Oryzias latipes: one gene and its partners. The protein of the gene in region 3 interacts with the protein of the main gene of each other region in a biochemical or structural test. Links are inferred from orthologs where the notes say so. Each region holds a gene or a part of one and is shown on either strand. Other genes may lie near its edges. The genes, in order: gda, cript and dlg3.

The links.
Region 1: the proteins of dlg3 (region 3) and gda form a complex in vitro, tested with the Homo sapiens proteins (2 studies listed by BioGRID and IntAct, with this or other methods). The link is inferred for Oryzias latipes from reciprocal best matches to the Homo sapiens genes DLG3 and GDA.
Region 2: the proteins of dlg3 (region 3) and cript form a complex in vitro, tested with the Homo sapiens proteins (2 studies listed by BioGRID and IntAct, with this or other methods). The link is inferred for Oryzias latipes from reciprocal best matches to the Homo sapiens genes DLG3 and CRIPT.

The regions. Positions count from the first base shown.
Region 1 is NC_019867.2:16,716,891-16,721,035, reverse strand, and holds the start of gda (guanine deaminase), read right to left. Parts: upstream 2,836-4,145; 5' UTR 2,784-2,835; coding exon 2,655-2,783; intron 2,097-2,654; coding exon 2,008-2,096; intron 1,707-2,007; coding exon 1,535-1,706; intron 1,339-1,534; coding exon 1,251-1,338; intron 1-1,250. UniProt on the Homo sapiens protein: Catalyzes the hydrolytic deamination of guanine, producing xanthine and ammonia.
Region 2 is NC_019877.2:12,480,868-12,484,965, forward strand, and holds the start of cript (cysteine-rich PDZ-binding protein), read right to left. Parts: upstream 2,808-4,098; 5' UTR 2,695-2,807; coding exon 2,679-2,694; intron 2,476-2,678; coding exon 2,410-2,475; intron 1,038-2,409; coding exon 983-1,037; intron 835-982; coding exon 731-834; intron 1-730. Other genes in the region: pigf (phosphatidylinositol-glycan biosynthesis class F protein), read left to right, coding at 3,223-3,450, 3,967-4,058. UniProt on the Homo sapiens protein: As a component of the minor spliceosome, involved in the splicing of U12-type introns in pre-mRNAs. Involved in the cytoskeletal anchoring of DLG4 in excitatory synapses.
Region 3 is NC_019868.2:11,302,583-11,306,911, reverse strand, and holds the start of dlg3 (disks large homolog 3), read right to left. Parts: upstream 2,852-4,329; 5' UTR 2,006-2,851; coding exon 1,640-2,005; intron 1-1,639. UniProt on the Homo sapiens protein: Required for learning most likely through its role in synaptic plasticity following NMDA receptor signaling.

The DNA of each region.
Region 1 (4,145 bases), on a different chromosome or scaffold from region 3:
TATGATTTGTTACATCAGTGTTTCCTGTCATGACCTGCAATGACATTTCCAGTGTCAACACTTTTTCAGTCCACTGTTGTGTTTAATTACCCCAGGATATTTGATTAATAATGATATTTTTTTAAATAATTTTATCAGTATAGTTTAGTTTTTACTTTTTACTTTTTAGACCCAATCCCATCCTTGTTCCACTCTTTAGTAACCTGAGCATGCATGTGGTAGACCTTTGTACAGCACGTTTAGTTATTTTTTTTAATTTGAAAAAAAAGGAAAAATCTAAAACCAGGTTAATTTGTTTTGAATTAAGTTTGTTTTTAACCTGGCCGGATGTATTCTTCCTCATCTGAGATGCTGAGATACAAATCTTTCAGACGCTTTTTGCATGTGTGTAACAAGGATGTGCTTCCCCAAGTGTCACCGATTCAGTGCATGATCAGCGGGTGACTTAGGGTGGAGAGCTGTTGCTGCGCCTGTTTGTGCTACTGTGACTAAACATCTGGAATGAAGTTAGAGAATGCACATTTATATCAGATTTTCTGAAAGGAATTGTATGACCAAGGAAAATTTTATCTGATTTTACATGCTTAGTCATTGTCTTAATCTAACTCTGAATGCTATACCGAGTCGAACTGCCTGATACAACGCACAAAAGGGGAAACGAAAGTACAAATTTTAAAGAGCACATGGATGCAAGATAATAAATGTACCAATGCTGAAAACTGATGTTCAAGAAGTAACAGCTAGCTGTAAGGAGGACAAAGGTTAGAGTTCAATGTACCTGATTACATAAAATGACTGTAAAACTGTCAAAGCCAATGTTTGGTTCAGCTCGGCTGCATCGTTACACATTTATGTGACCATGTGTTCTGAATGACGCAAGCACATTGATAAGGACAAAGCATAAAGGTGAAGCTCCATTCAGATTTTACAGGATTTTTAACTGAAGAGAGAAGCAATTCTCCTTAAAACAGTTAAGATACCTGAACTTGTATTGTACTTTGAGCTGGTGCTCTACTTTTAACGGATACTGTACAACTGGAAGAGGTGCTGCATAATAAAGTGGGAAAAATTTACTTAAATCGTCACAATGAGTTTCTAAAGTTGTCTGAAAATTATGCTTTAAAAGTACGTTTTCTTTTTTTTAATAATCTGTGTTTTTGTGTACTCTTTGGAGATGGGACATGCTGTTTGAGGAAGCCCATATTTAAAAGGATCAATGCATGTGTGGGTTTGCATGTAGGAAATCTTACTTGCAATCTGACCCAACAGAAGAGAGGCATCTGTATGTATGGTAGCAAAGTAACATGCAGTTGTTGTTCCGTTTCTTAAAGTCCTCTTCTGTAAAGCACAGAAACCAAAGCATGGATTAACACTCATTTTAAATGCCTGTACAGTTTAGGTTACAAATCTCAAAGGCCACATGAAAAACTGCAAGCATACGGTGTCTTTATGACACTAAAATGACCCAACAACCTTTGTTATAGGGCCATGCTGAGACTGTTTAGTCTCAAAGATACCATTTGCCAAAACTCACCACTACTTGTGTGTAGATTTTCTTGGCAAACTCCAAGTCCTTGAAGTGTGACTCCACAGGGAAGGTGTAAGTATTGAGCCACTGCAGTAAAGGCATGTCCAAGGCTGTGCCTGCGTAGCTGTACTGGGATGCATGGATGTGTGTGTCAATCATTCCTGGCATGAAGAACTCACTGCAGAATCAAATTAAAGTTAGATAAAAAATGCATTTTTCAAATCATATTTCATTTATAATATATATTTTAAAGCAAGATATGCACATTTATGTTTCAAAGATGTGTTTTTTACATCCCGTCTTTGCCGACCAATATTATTGCTATTATGATGCTATTACCCATGCAGATTCCCCTTTACGTTGAGTTCATTCATTCATTTTTGGTCCTTTTTCAAGACGATCGTGTTCAAACTCATCCATCCCAATCAACTAAAATCAAAACTTGTAAATCTACAACTAAAGGTTTTGATTTGACTTACTGTTGTGCCAGTTGATTGACGTCTGATGGGTTGAATCCAAACTTCTGAGACAGTTCCAGTAAGTTTTCACCCTTTCCAATGAAAGAAATCTGACAAGCCAAAAAGAAATCAGGTAAATTCTTTTTGAAAATTGCAAGATGTGAAAGGTGAAAATGTTGATAAAATTCTGTGCAATGTAAAAATAAATTTGAAAAGAATTAATAACACTTTGAATAGACTGTACTTGGAAGATCCCCACTCAGGAGGTATTTTAGGGCAATATTGTTGCACTATTCTCAGAGTAATGCTGCAACATTGTTTTATAATGCTTGAGTGCAAACTGAGAAAAACTAACTTTAGTATTTTCTTAATTTTTATTTTACTTTCTAGGGAGAAGTTTTGCTGTTTATTTAGCCTCATCCTTTTATTGTGTTCAAAAACTTAAACAGTATTTAATAAAAGTTTACCATAACTAGACTATTAGGTTATGTGATTAATAGCAGTTGAAAAAAAAGACCTGCACTTTGCTTTAGATTCACGGGGATTTAAAGTAAACAAATGCTGCGAAAATTAACATTAACATACATTCGTTTATTTTTAAAACCAGTGAAACGCAAAAATGCAAATATTTCGTTTTGTTTTTATTTTCATTTCAGAAAGGGACCAACCTTCCCGGCAGTGTCCACTCCCAGGAGCGCGTCCTCCAGGACCTGCAGCGCCGTTTCGGGGGTCGAGTGGATAAATGTCCCCCTGAAAACGTGCGTAACTGGGCCGCTGGAACACTCCGAGTTTGCCATCTTTCCTCCAGATCACTGTCAATCACTCAGTTTGACATTGGCCGGTGGATTTTTATTCTAAGTGAAGCTCAGAGTAACACCCACTAGGAGGCAGGACTTCCAGCAGCCAATAGAAGGACAGGAGGTGGTTGCGCTTTTTCAGGTGCGTCTGCCCGCGCGGCTTGGGTTTATCCATAAACGCTTTTTTGTTGGCGTGCAGGAAAGTAAGCCCTCATCTTTTCTATTGTTCCAAAGAGTATGCCAAACTTTGCATTAACTTTAAATGTTATATAAGAATGGCAACATATAATATGCAGGAACATAATGAAAAAGGCTCGTTGAAGTCCATCAACTTCTGAAAGTAATTCCAAGTACATCCTTTTATAAATAAAGCAAAATGTTATACTATTTTTTTTCTTTAAAAATGCTTTGCAAATTGGCACATAACATTGTAATTTTTAACAGGGAGACAGATTTTTAAAAATTAACTTTATGATATAGAATTCCCGACCATTAAATAATCTGTGAAATAATTAATAGATTTATGACCAAAGTTTAGGTGCTGGCTTCTCATTCATATACTTGATACCCTTTAGGTGATGTACTTTTAAAATGTATACAGGTTTAATTTAACAATCCAGCTTAAAAACATGTTAAATTCAAGATTTTAAGACGTCTTTATGAGGGTGCTTAGAGTATTTAGCTACATGTGTCCCTGTATGAATGGTTGTACCCTGCCTTCATCCAAAATGTAATAGTCACCTTTTAGTGTAATTGTACCCGTTTTTTCTTTTTCTATAAAAATGAACACGCTAACATTTTTAATGACTATGGAACATGAAATTCAGAGATTTTATAGAGGAAAAGATTCTTCTTTTTCAAATAATATTGTATATGCAGAAAACAAGCCCAGTGAGGTGCATTAACAAGGGAATGTGACCCCTCTGTGACCAACACATTCATATTTATGAGAAACACATTGAAGTTACAACATTGTTATATTTATAAAGTCCACATGACTAATGACATGAATTTATGATGATGCTAGCATGCACCAAAGGGATGATCTGCACAGAACTTATGGTTATCCTGTGACTTGATGCAGAAAAAGGAGAACTTTCTCTGACATTTCTTATTTCTGAGTAAAAGTTACTTCATGGAAAACATTACATCATTTTTTTGGAAGGTAAAAGTTATCTGACTTTATGTGGCTGAACTTTCAGCATGGCACCCAGTGGCACCCAACTATAGCTCAAAATCCCCTTCACTCACAAATCAAAGTCACATAAACGTTTCAATAGTTTCAACACCTGGGCAAAAATGGCAGACCAATTATTTAAAAAAAATGTAAGAAACCTTCCTAAATTAAGAGTAAGCATAAAT
Region 2 (4,098 bases), on a different chromosome or scaffold from region 3:
AAGTTTGAGCCTTTGGGTTTCACTTGAATAGCAAAGTTTGACAAACATCTCAATAAATAAATATTTTATTTTTGCCCATTTAGTTGTTGTTTCACAGCAGTTTGGGTTGTGCATATATTCAGGCATAATTTTTAGCTCAGGGGCTATTTTTGACCACTTCATCAAAACCTGCAATATTTGGGGCACAACATGCAATTCTGCAATCAATGTAAAACCTTGTATCCACTTCTGCAAGCCGAGTGCTTGGGGCTGGGGTCGAGGTTTGTAAAAATATGGCTTTTGAGGTTTGAATTTCATCACTCAGTTCAAATACTTTACAGACATAAACAAACAGTTAAGTTAACCTATTCCTATACCTTTAAATTCTTTGTATCAGTCACCAGGAACCCTAAAAAAATTACATTTACATCAAAGGATATTTTATAAATTAAAGTGTGTAGTGAGAAGATAATAAAGGACTTGCCAACATGTGTACATTTATATAAATGGGCATCTGTTATGGAAGCACAAACATATGCCAGCACAATGTTGGTTATAGTAAAGATTTACAAAATTACAGACAAATTTATATCAATATTATGACTGAACATAAAAATGAAAAACCTACTTAATACTGTTCTGCTTTAATATGATTTTTGGTTCTACAATACATTGTAGTGTTAATTTTTGACATGTTACCTTCAATTTGTATTGAAGAAAATAAAAATAGAGTTTAAGTGCACAACTATACCTTTCTTGTAAGCACAGCCCTGGCAGTAGTGCGATCCAGGCTGATGAACAGAGCTCTTGCAGATTCTGCAGATGGCAAAGCCCGTCTTACTGTAAGGGTCGAACCTGAGAAAAACCACAGTTAAACATTGAGAATTAGCAACATCAAAGAACCTTAACAGCAAAATAAACCACTAGTGCTTACAGAAAGCTAGAAACTACTACACTGCCATTTGATTTATGAGTAAAAGTTTTTTCACAGTGCAATACTCACCTGGCCTTCTTAGATGTCAACATCTTGTTTTCATTTAGTTTACGGCCTCCACTCTCTAAGAAAAATAAAACAACATTGTGAGATTATATATACACATGTATGTACATACATACATACCAGTGGCGATTTCTTTAAGACTGCAAGGGAAGCTCTGCTTCCCTTATAATGTCACAAAATAAATGGTCAAATATGTACTATTGTATTGTATTGTATTTTATTTTATTAACATTTTATTGACTAAAAATGTGTAAGAAAACGTTCATCTCAAAGACGAGTTCGTTAAGAATCAGTTACATATAGCAAGTCGCCTGACTCGATTTCCTTCTCATACATTCCCGCAGCATCACAGTGCATTTCTCTAAAGAAGCCCAGCGTCCATTGACTTCAATCGGGCTGCTTTGAACATTTTTTTTCTGCGCTTCGAAACTAGATGGTCATTGGATAAACGCTGTGATTATGTCCCGCCAACGGATGCTCAGCGTCTCTGGGGGTGAGTGGGGAGTGGGCCAGCCCAAACTCCGAGCTTCTCCGTGATGATTGAAGGGTCTGTTAAAAGACCGCCTTCTGACTGAAGCTTTTCGCTTATTCACATTTCTCAAGTTCAGTCGAACTAAAAACTGCTGCAACCTATTTCTTTGATAATTGCTGGGCTAAATTGCTTGATTTTCATCATACATTTCACACAATTATACACCACATTGATTGTTTCAGTTTTACAGAGTTTAATATTTTTTTTTAGATAGTTAATTCTTCCCTTTGATTCAGGAAGACTGAGGTCAGAACTTCAAGTCCTGTTTTCAGATCAGGACTTGCAGGGTAACAGGGGAAAGCTGTATGATTACTTGGTGTTCCTTAAAGACATGGAGTTGGACAGTCCAATGCCTCAGCTTTACAAACTGTTCTCATTAGTGGCAACAATTGGAGTTACATCTGCAGGTGTAGAAAGGAGCTTCTCCTGTTTAAAGTGACTTAAGTCCTACACCCGAAACACAATGGGCTAAGGCTGTTTAAGCAGCCTAGCTCTGCTGGCCATTGAGAGGACATTGGTCAAGTCAGTTGAGACACCTAGTTGGTACGACAGGGTCACAGACCATTTTCTTGAAAAGGAACGTAGGGCATAAATACTTTTAAATAAATAGACAATTTTATGATGTAGGCCGAAAATGAGCCGACAGACAGACCGACAGACAGACAGACCGACCGACCGACCGACCGACCGACGGGGAAAACAGATATGTAAATGAGTACTGTTCTAATAAATATTTTAGCAGTAGCTTCTCCTTCCATCGTTTCGATTCCTTAATGACGTTCATTTACAAGACAGATTTTTTGGGGGCAACATATTTATTTTACCTGTCGTTCCACGATTGTCTAAATTATTAAACGTGTAAACATTTTTGGATGTTTTTGGATAGAGACTACGTTACCAGTCGTATTTCGTGCTCCATCCTTCCAAGTGTCAGGAGTGATGACCTTTCCGAGCTTCTTTTCGCCTAAAATATTAGGAAATCCCACATTAACAAAGAATTATTAATAATTAACAAAGCTAACTACGAGCAAGGAAAACCAAAACAAATGCTAGCATAACAAAATATTAGCCACTCAACAAAACAACAAAAATGTCACTAACTAACTATATTAACTAAGTCATAAGTGTAAAATTATGTAAGAAACAAGGCGAAAGTGCGATATTTACATTTTTCACAAACCATCTCAGCTGCGTTTACTTGGCCTGTCTTGATATAAAATGTGTACAAGCGTTCAAGCTAGCTCTGCTCATGTAACTTCCGGTTGTCTTCGTCAACTTGTACAAACAAATCTCATTGGGTAATCCTGTCAGTAAAACGTTATGTGATTCGTTCACTCCGACTAGAAGCGCATTTCTAAAATCCAGAATAAAAGTAAAATGAGAGTAACAATATTTTCGCCACGGAATCAGCACTCGAAAATATAAATTTCACTTTAGAAAATAGTATTTTATTATAAAGTGTTGAATATGATTTAAATATGTTGGGTAATGTATGTCAAAACAAAGAAATTGGTAGAAATTAACAATCAAAAGAGAATCTTCTGTTTTATTGTGAAACGCAAACGGAAATTGCTTTTTTTTTTTCATATTTACGGAAGCGTAGTCATACATGGATTTGCGTGTCCTTTCGCCTACCAAAATTCTAAGACACCTCTACTGAAATTATCTACATTATTCTATTGTCTTGTTGTGAAAAGTGAAAGTCTTCATCATGTGGGACCACGAAATCAGAGCCATGGTGTCGACCCACGCTCTGATCGCCGCTTCGATGTTCATGGCTACGGTGCTACCTGCAGTTTTTGTTCTAAGCTTCTCGGTGTACGGCACTCACCTGTTGTGGCTGTACTGCACATCCGGTGCTGTGAATGCTGTCAGTGTCGTCGTCTTCTGGCTCCTCGGCGTCACACCGTCCACTAAAAAAAATACACTTGGATATAAGGTCAGAATGTCTTCCCTCGGAAATGTCTTTATTTTGTCCAAACCCAAAGAAATGTGCTTGATTTGTTTAAGGTTTTTGCCAAATAGTCATACGTATATGAGAGAAGTATCAGAAATAATTATTACACAATTTAAAATAATAGAAAACTAGGTTTTTCAAAACAATTAATTCCTATTATTTACTCGTAAACGTTTTGTCTCGTTTTTAAAAAACAAATTTGCAAATGGACGTTTCAGTAATAATTAGAAATGTGTATTTCTGATTTGAACACATTTTTAATTGAGTTTATAAACATTTGCTACAGTGCTTTATTTTCACGTTAAACATTTTAAATTCATATGACAGTCTATATGCAATTGTTGCTTATTAACATTTTTCTGCTACAACAAACTCATATAAAAAAATAATTTTTCTGAGCTTTTACATATAAAAATTGTTCATTTTTTAAGTGGATTTTTCTCAAATGTCTACGTTGTAACTTTTTGGTAATAATGATAATCCTGTTTCTTTCCACAGCTTTCCAGGCTGTTTCGTGCCTGTCTGTACTTTTTCTTGTCATGTCTGTTCTTCCACACTGTGATTGTCCTTTATGGAGCCCCGTTGATTGAGTAAGTCTATTAGAAAAAAATCTTTGAAATTGTTTTTAAA
Region 3 (4,329 bases):
CACACCTAATCCCATTCATGGTTGGGAGAGAGGATGTACTGTCATGGTGACAGGTTGCACCCGCTAACTGGTTTCAACTAGTCTGGAGCTCCATGTGGGTTAATATAAGCAAAATGTATTCATTAATGTGCTAATAAAAAGTATAAGTATAAACAAAAAGCCTTCATTTAATACAAAACAAAACATCAGAACCCAAGCTCTCATTGAGAAAGGGAAGGCGTGCAATCTGGACAAACTGTCAGTCCATCACAGGTCTGCATGGAAACAAACAACATTAAAGAAAACAATGCATTTAGTTCCCAAAATTAACCAATCCTGGATGTTTTACCCTTTAGAAAACCCCACACAGGTTTCTAACCTCAGTGCTACCCTTATCAAATGTAAATTAATCGCAAAGCAGTTGAAAAGGACATTTTATTGCTACTAAATTTACAATCCTGAAGCCTTGCAGATTAAAACTAATGGATTCTAAAGTCTGCATGTAAGCAACAATTTCTTACATAATCTCGCTTGCTGAAACCTTTTAAATGCCATCAACATTAAATGCACCTGCTTGAGTTGAGGTGCAGTTCTAACCGGGGACAAATGCTCATCTTTTTGCCCCCCAAAAAAGCTTAAATTCCTGCCTGCTAATATCAGCCAGGCTCATAAGAAGGTTCAGCTCAGCAGATCTCTCCCACTCTGCTTGCACATTCGTAGCCTCCATTTTCTCCTCGTCTCCTTTCTTTCAACTCTTCCTCGCAAAAAAAAAACCCATCACACTAAAGCAGAGGAGATGCAAACAATGCACCAGCTTCACTTGACGCAAATGAGAGACCGTATAGACGCATACTCATGCACGGCTAGCACGGTTTCTTGAATCTCATGCTCTCCGAGCTACCCTTCCCCCACACAGGATCACTGGTGCTCTCATACATGCACCTTGCTTAATTAAAGGGTGCTTCTGAAGCCGTCCTGACCTTTCCTCAACTGTAAGTCATAAACACGTGTAAATAAATGAATTAGGAAACGCTGGAAGGGGAGGTTTTGTTCGTTCTGTGGGACAGATTTCCAGCCTTTTGAAACATGTTTTTTATCTGTATTACACAACTAATACATTAGGCTGTGAATCTTTAAGCTAAATTTGCGCACTAATATAAGTGAGGCCGCATTAAACCAATTCCTCATTTCCTCCTCTTGTCTAATGATACAAAACCCATATATTTGATGTTGCTAGAAGTATGAATGTTTTACATCGAATTTCCTAAACCTATTGATAGCACCTGAGAAATGCTTCAATGCCAATAGAGCAGTGGTTTGGGCCTGCGGCTGCTGCACAAGCCTTTGACTAGTTGATTTCATCTACATGATGTGTTAAATCTAAAACATTAGTCATTTGCATCAATCCCAAACATGACGATCATCTCCATGCGTGCGCAGTGAAACCAGATCATTCCTGTTTTACTAGAGGGACAACAGTTGTCAAAAAAGAACCAGAGGGCTTGAGATAAATACTCCATATGAACTCTCTTTCAGACACAGCTGATACATCATCAGCTTCTGTTTCACTATATTAGCCTACAGTTGCATTTACGTCCCCTTCTTCCCACACAGGCCCCAAAAGCTTCAATTGGTTAAAGAAGTCAGGAAGATGGGTTACCTGGTCGTACCACTCCCGATTGGTGCAGGTGCACTCAGGCCACCATCCTCCTTGTCCACTTGAGTTGTTACCATTTACTTTTGGGCCACTCTTGGACTGGCCTTTTGGGTTGGGGCCTCCAGGGCCTCCTCCAGACATCATTTTCCCCTTACTTCTTCCCAAAGTTCCCCCTCCTCCTCCCATGCTTCCACCTCCCCCTGAAGCTGGAGGGGGTAAGGTCTGTCCACCTCCATACCCTGGTGGGTATCCATAGGGTTCAGCCTGCCAGTCTCCTCCATATGCCGGGGCGTCCATCCTACGCAGGGCAGCCATCCGGGTTACCTCATAACATTCTGGGCACTTGCAGCAGTGGTGGTGTTTGTGCATGCTGGCTGTGCTGGCTGGGTTGATGCTGAGATGGGCGGCGTAGCACTCTGTCTTTGCTGCCTCCTCAGATCTCACAGAACCCTCTGTGATCGGTTCACAGAGTGCTAATGCCGGCACAGATAACACTAATAGCAGGAATTTCTACAGATTGGCTCCTTTTCATCAAATCCTCACCACCGACGCCTTTATTCCTCTAGGATGCTGGTTAAAAAAAACACAAAAAACTGAGCGATCTGGATGGATGACAAGCAGCACAGGAACACAAAAATACAAAATGGTCACGTAGTCTTTGTCCTCTTGACGTAGAAGATCAAAGGAAAATTTTTAAATATTGTATGCCACCATGCAATCAGAGACCAGCCCTGATGACAAAAATTTCCTCTCGCTTCTCTTGGCTCACAGTGATACGCAAATAAATTCATAGATATATACATACACACATGTGTGTATGTATATATATTATTCTGATTATATATATATATATATATATATATTTACACACACAAGTATATAAAAATAGTCATATAAACAGACAAGCACAATTACAGATATGTACAGAGATAAATGTATATATATATATATATATATATAGATTATTTATATATATATATATATCTATATATCTATATGCGTGTGTACAAATATATATATAAATATATAAACAATATGTATAAATAAATGATATCCGCAGATGAAAATCTTCCTCCGTTGGCTGTCTTCCGGTTGGTTGAAAAAAATCTCACGTTTTTAGTCCTGCTTTGAGAATGGTCTTTCGTTCTCCTCTTTTTCTCAGCCGGCAGAGGAGCTGAGCACTTGGTTGCCTCTCAGCCAGCTTGCCCTAGATGTGGATTATTGAGAGGGAAGCGAGCAAGCTAGAGGGTGGCGAAGAGAGAAAGGGAGGGGCGGAAAGGAATACGTAGCAGCATCCCTCTAGCACCTCAGCCCTAAGAGCTGCAGCCAATCAACTCTCAGCGCTGCCATCAGCAGCAGCACCAACAGGACTGAGCACTTCCACAGCTCCTCTTAAAGGGGAAGCAGCACCTAAACCTTAATCGCTTTCTGCCATTGGCTAAGAAGGGACCTTTCACAAATATTGCCACATTAAACACCCAACATGTGCTCCTTTCATTTACGATCTCCAACAAAACTGTAAAATTTCTATGTTACGGTTAAACAGGGATAACACCCCGACGCAAAATCTAATCCACCCTTTGCGAGTTTAATCCGTGTTTTTCATCAAACCAGTGCAGCCAGAATCCAACTTTCAATGAGCAACTCTGTCCCTCTGACTAATCACTGGTCACATCCCCAGTCATCTCCAGTTCAGCTGCAGATTTAGCTGCTTTCTGAGGCTGTCAGCTGTCAACCTTGGGCTCTGTGTCAGAGCACACATCTGTAAATAATCTCACGACGGGTGTGGGAGGAACAGAGGAAAATCCTTTACTTTGCGGATAACACTCGGCCTGCCTCTGGACAGCAAAAATCTTAGAATCCCCTCGCTTTGCTTTGCAATGTTGTCCTCTGGAGTCTAAATATTTCATCTCACATGTGCAGGTCAAAACACACACAGAGGCAGAGAACTGTGCTCCTCTTTTAGGAACATTTTTTTGTGTGTCTTCAGGATGATGACATCAACACATGTGTACCAAACCAACAAGATTACACGCTCTGGCTTTCGAGTGGGTGGAGGAAGAGATTGAGAGTGAAAATGCACGAGGGGGGGAGAAGAAAGAATGAGAGCTACATGGCTTTCATGTATCTGTGGCAGTTATATTCGCAGTAATGTGATAGGACTGCCAGTGAACCATTTTGCATACTTGTGAATTTGTGGGTTGATCACAGCTAGATATAACGGATTCCGACACAGGGGATGAAGGCTAATCATAACAGAGAGCTGAGAGAGAATGTAACGGTGTCGCCATTAAAGTCCTGCATATATGCATTATTAATGAAATGTGACGGGGATCCAAACTGGGTGTGTCTGCATGGGGGAGAGAGTATCTTTCTATATGGCCTGTATGTTGCAATGTTGCACTCACTAAGGCATTCACTGCCTTGATATTTCATGCATCTTATGATCTATGCAATCTATGCATCAACTTCATCAGGATCTTCAGCGCGGTGCTGCAGCGAACCAGTAGGCACACACAGCAAGCTCAGCCACACTTAATTACATGCAACAGTAACTCCCTTCATTAGAATGATATTCTTTCACTCCAACCTGCAGAGAGTCTCCATGGAGCGAAAGCACGAGGAAGTCAGGTGCTTTAGTTTGTTTTTTTTTAAACCAGGAACCACTTCACACCTTCTCTAGCCAGTGAAAG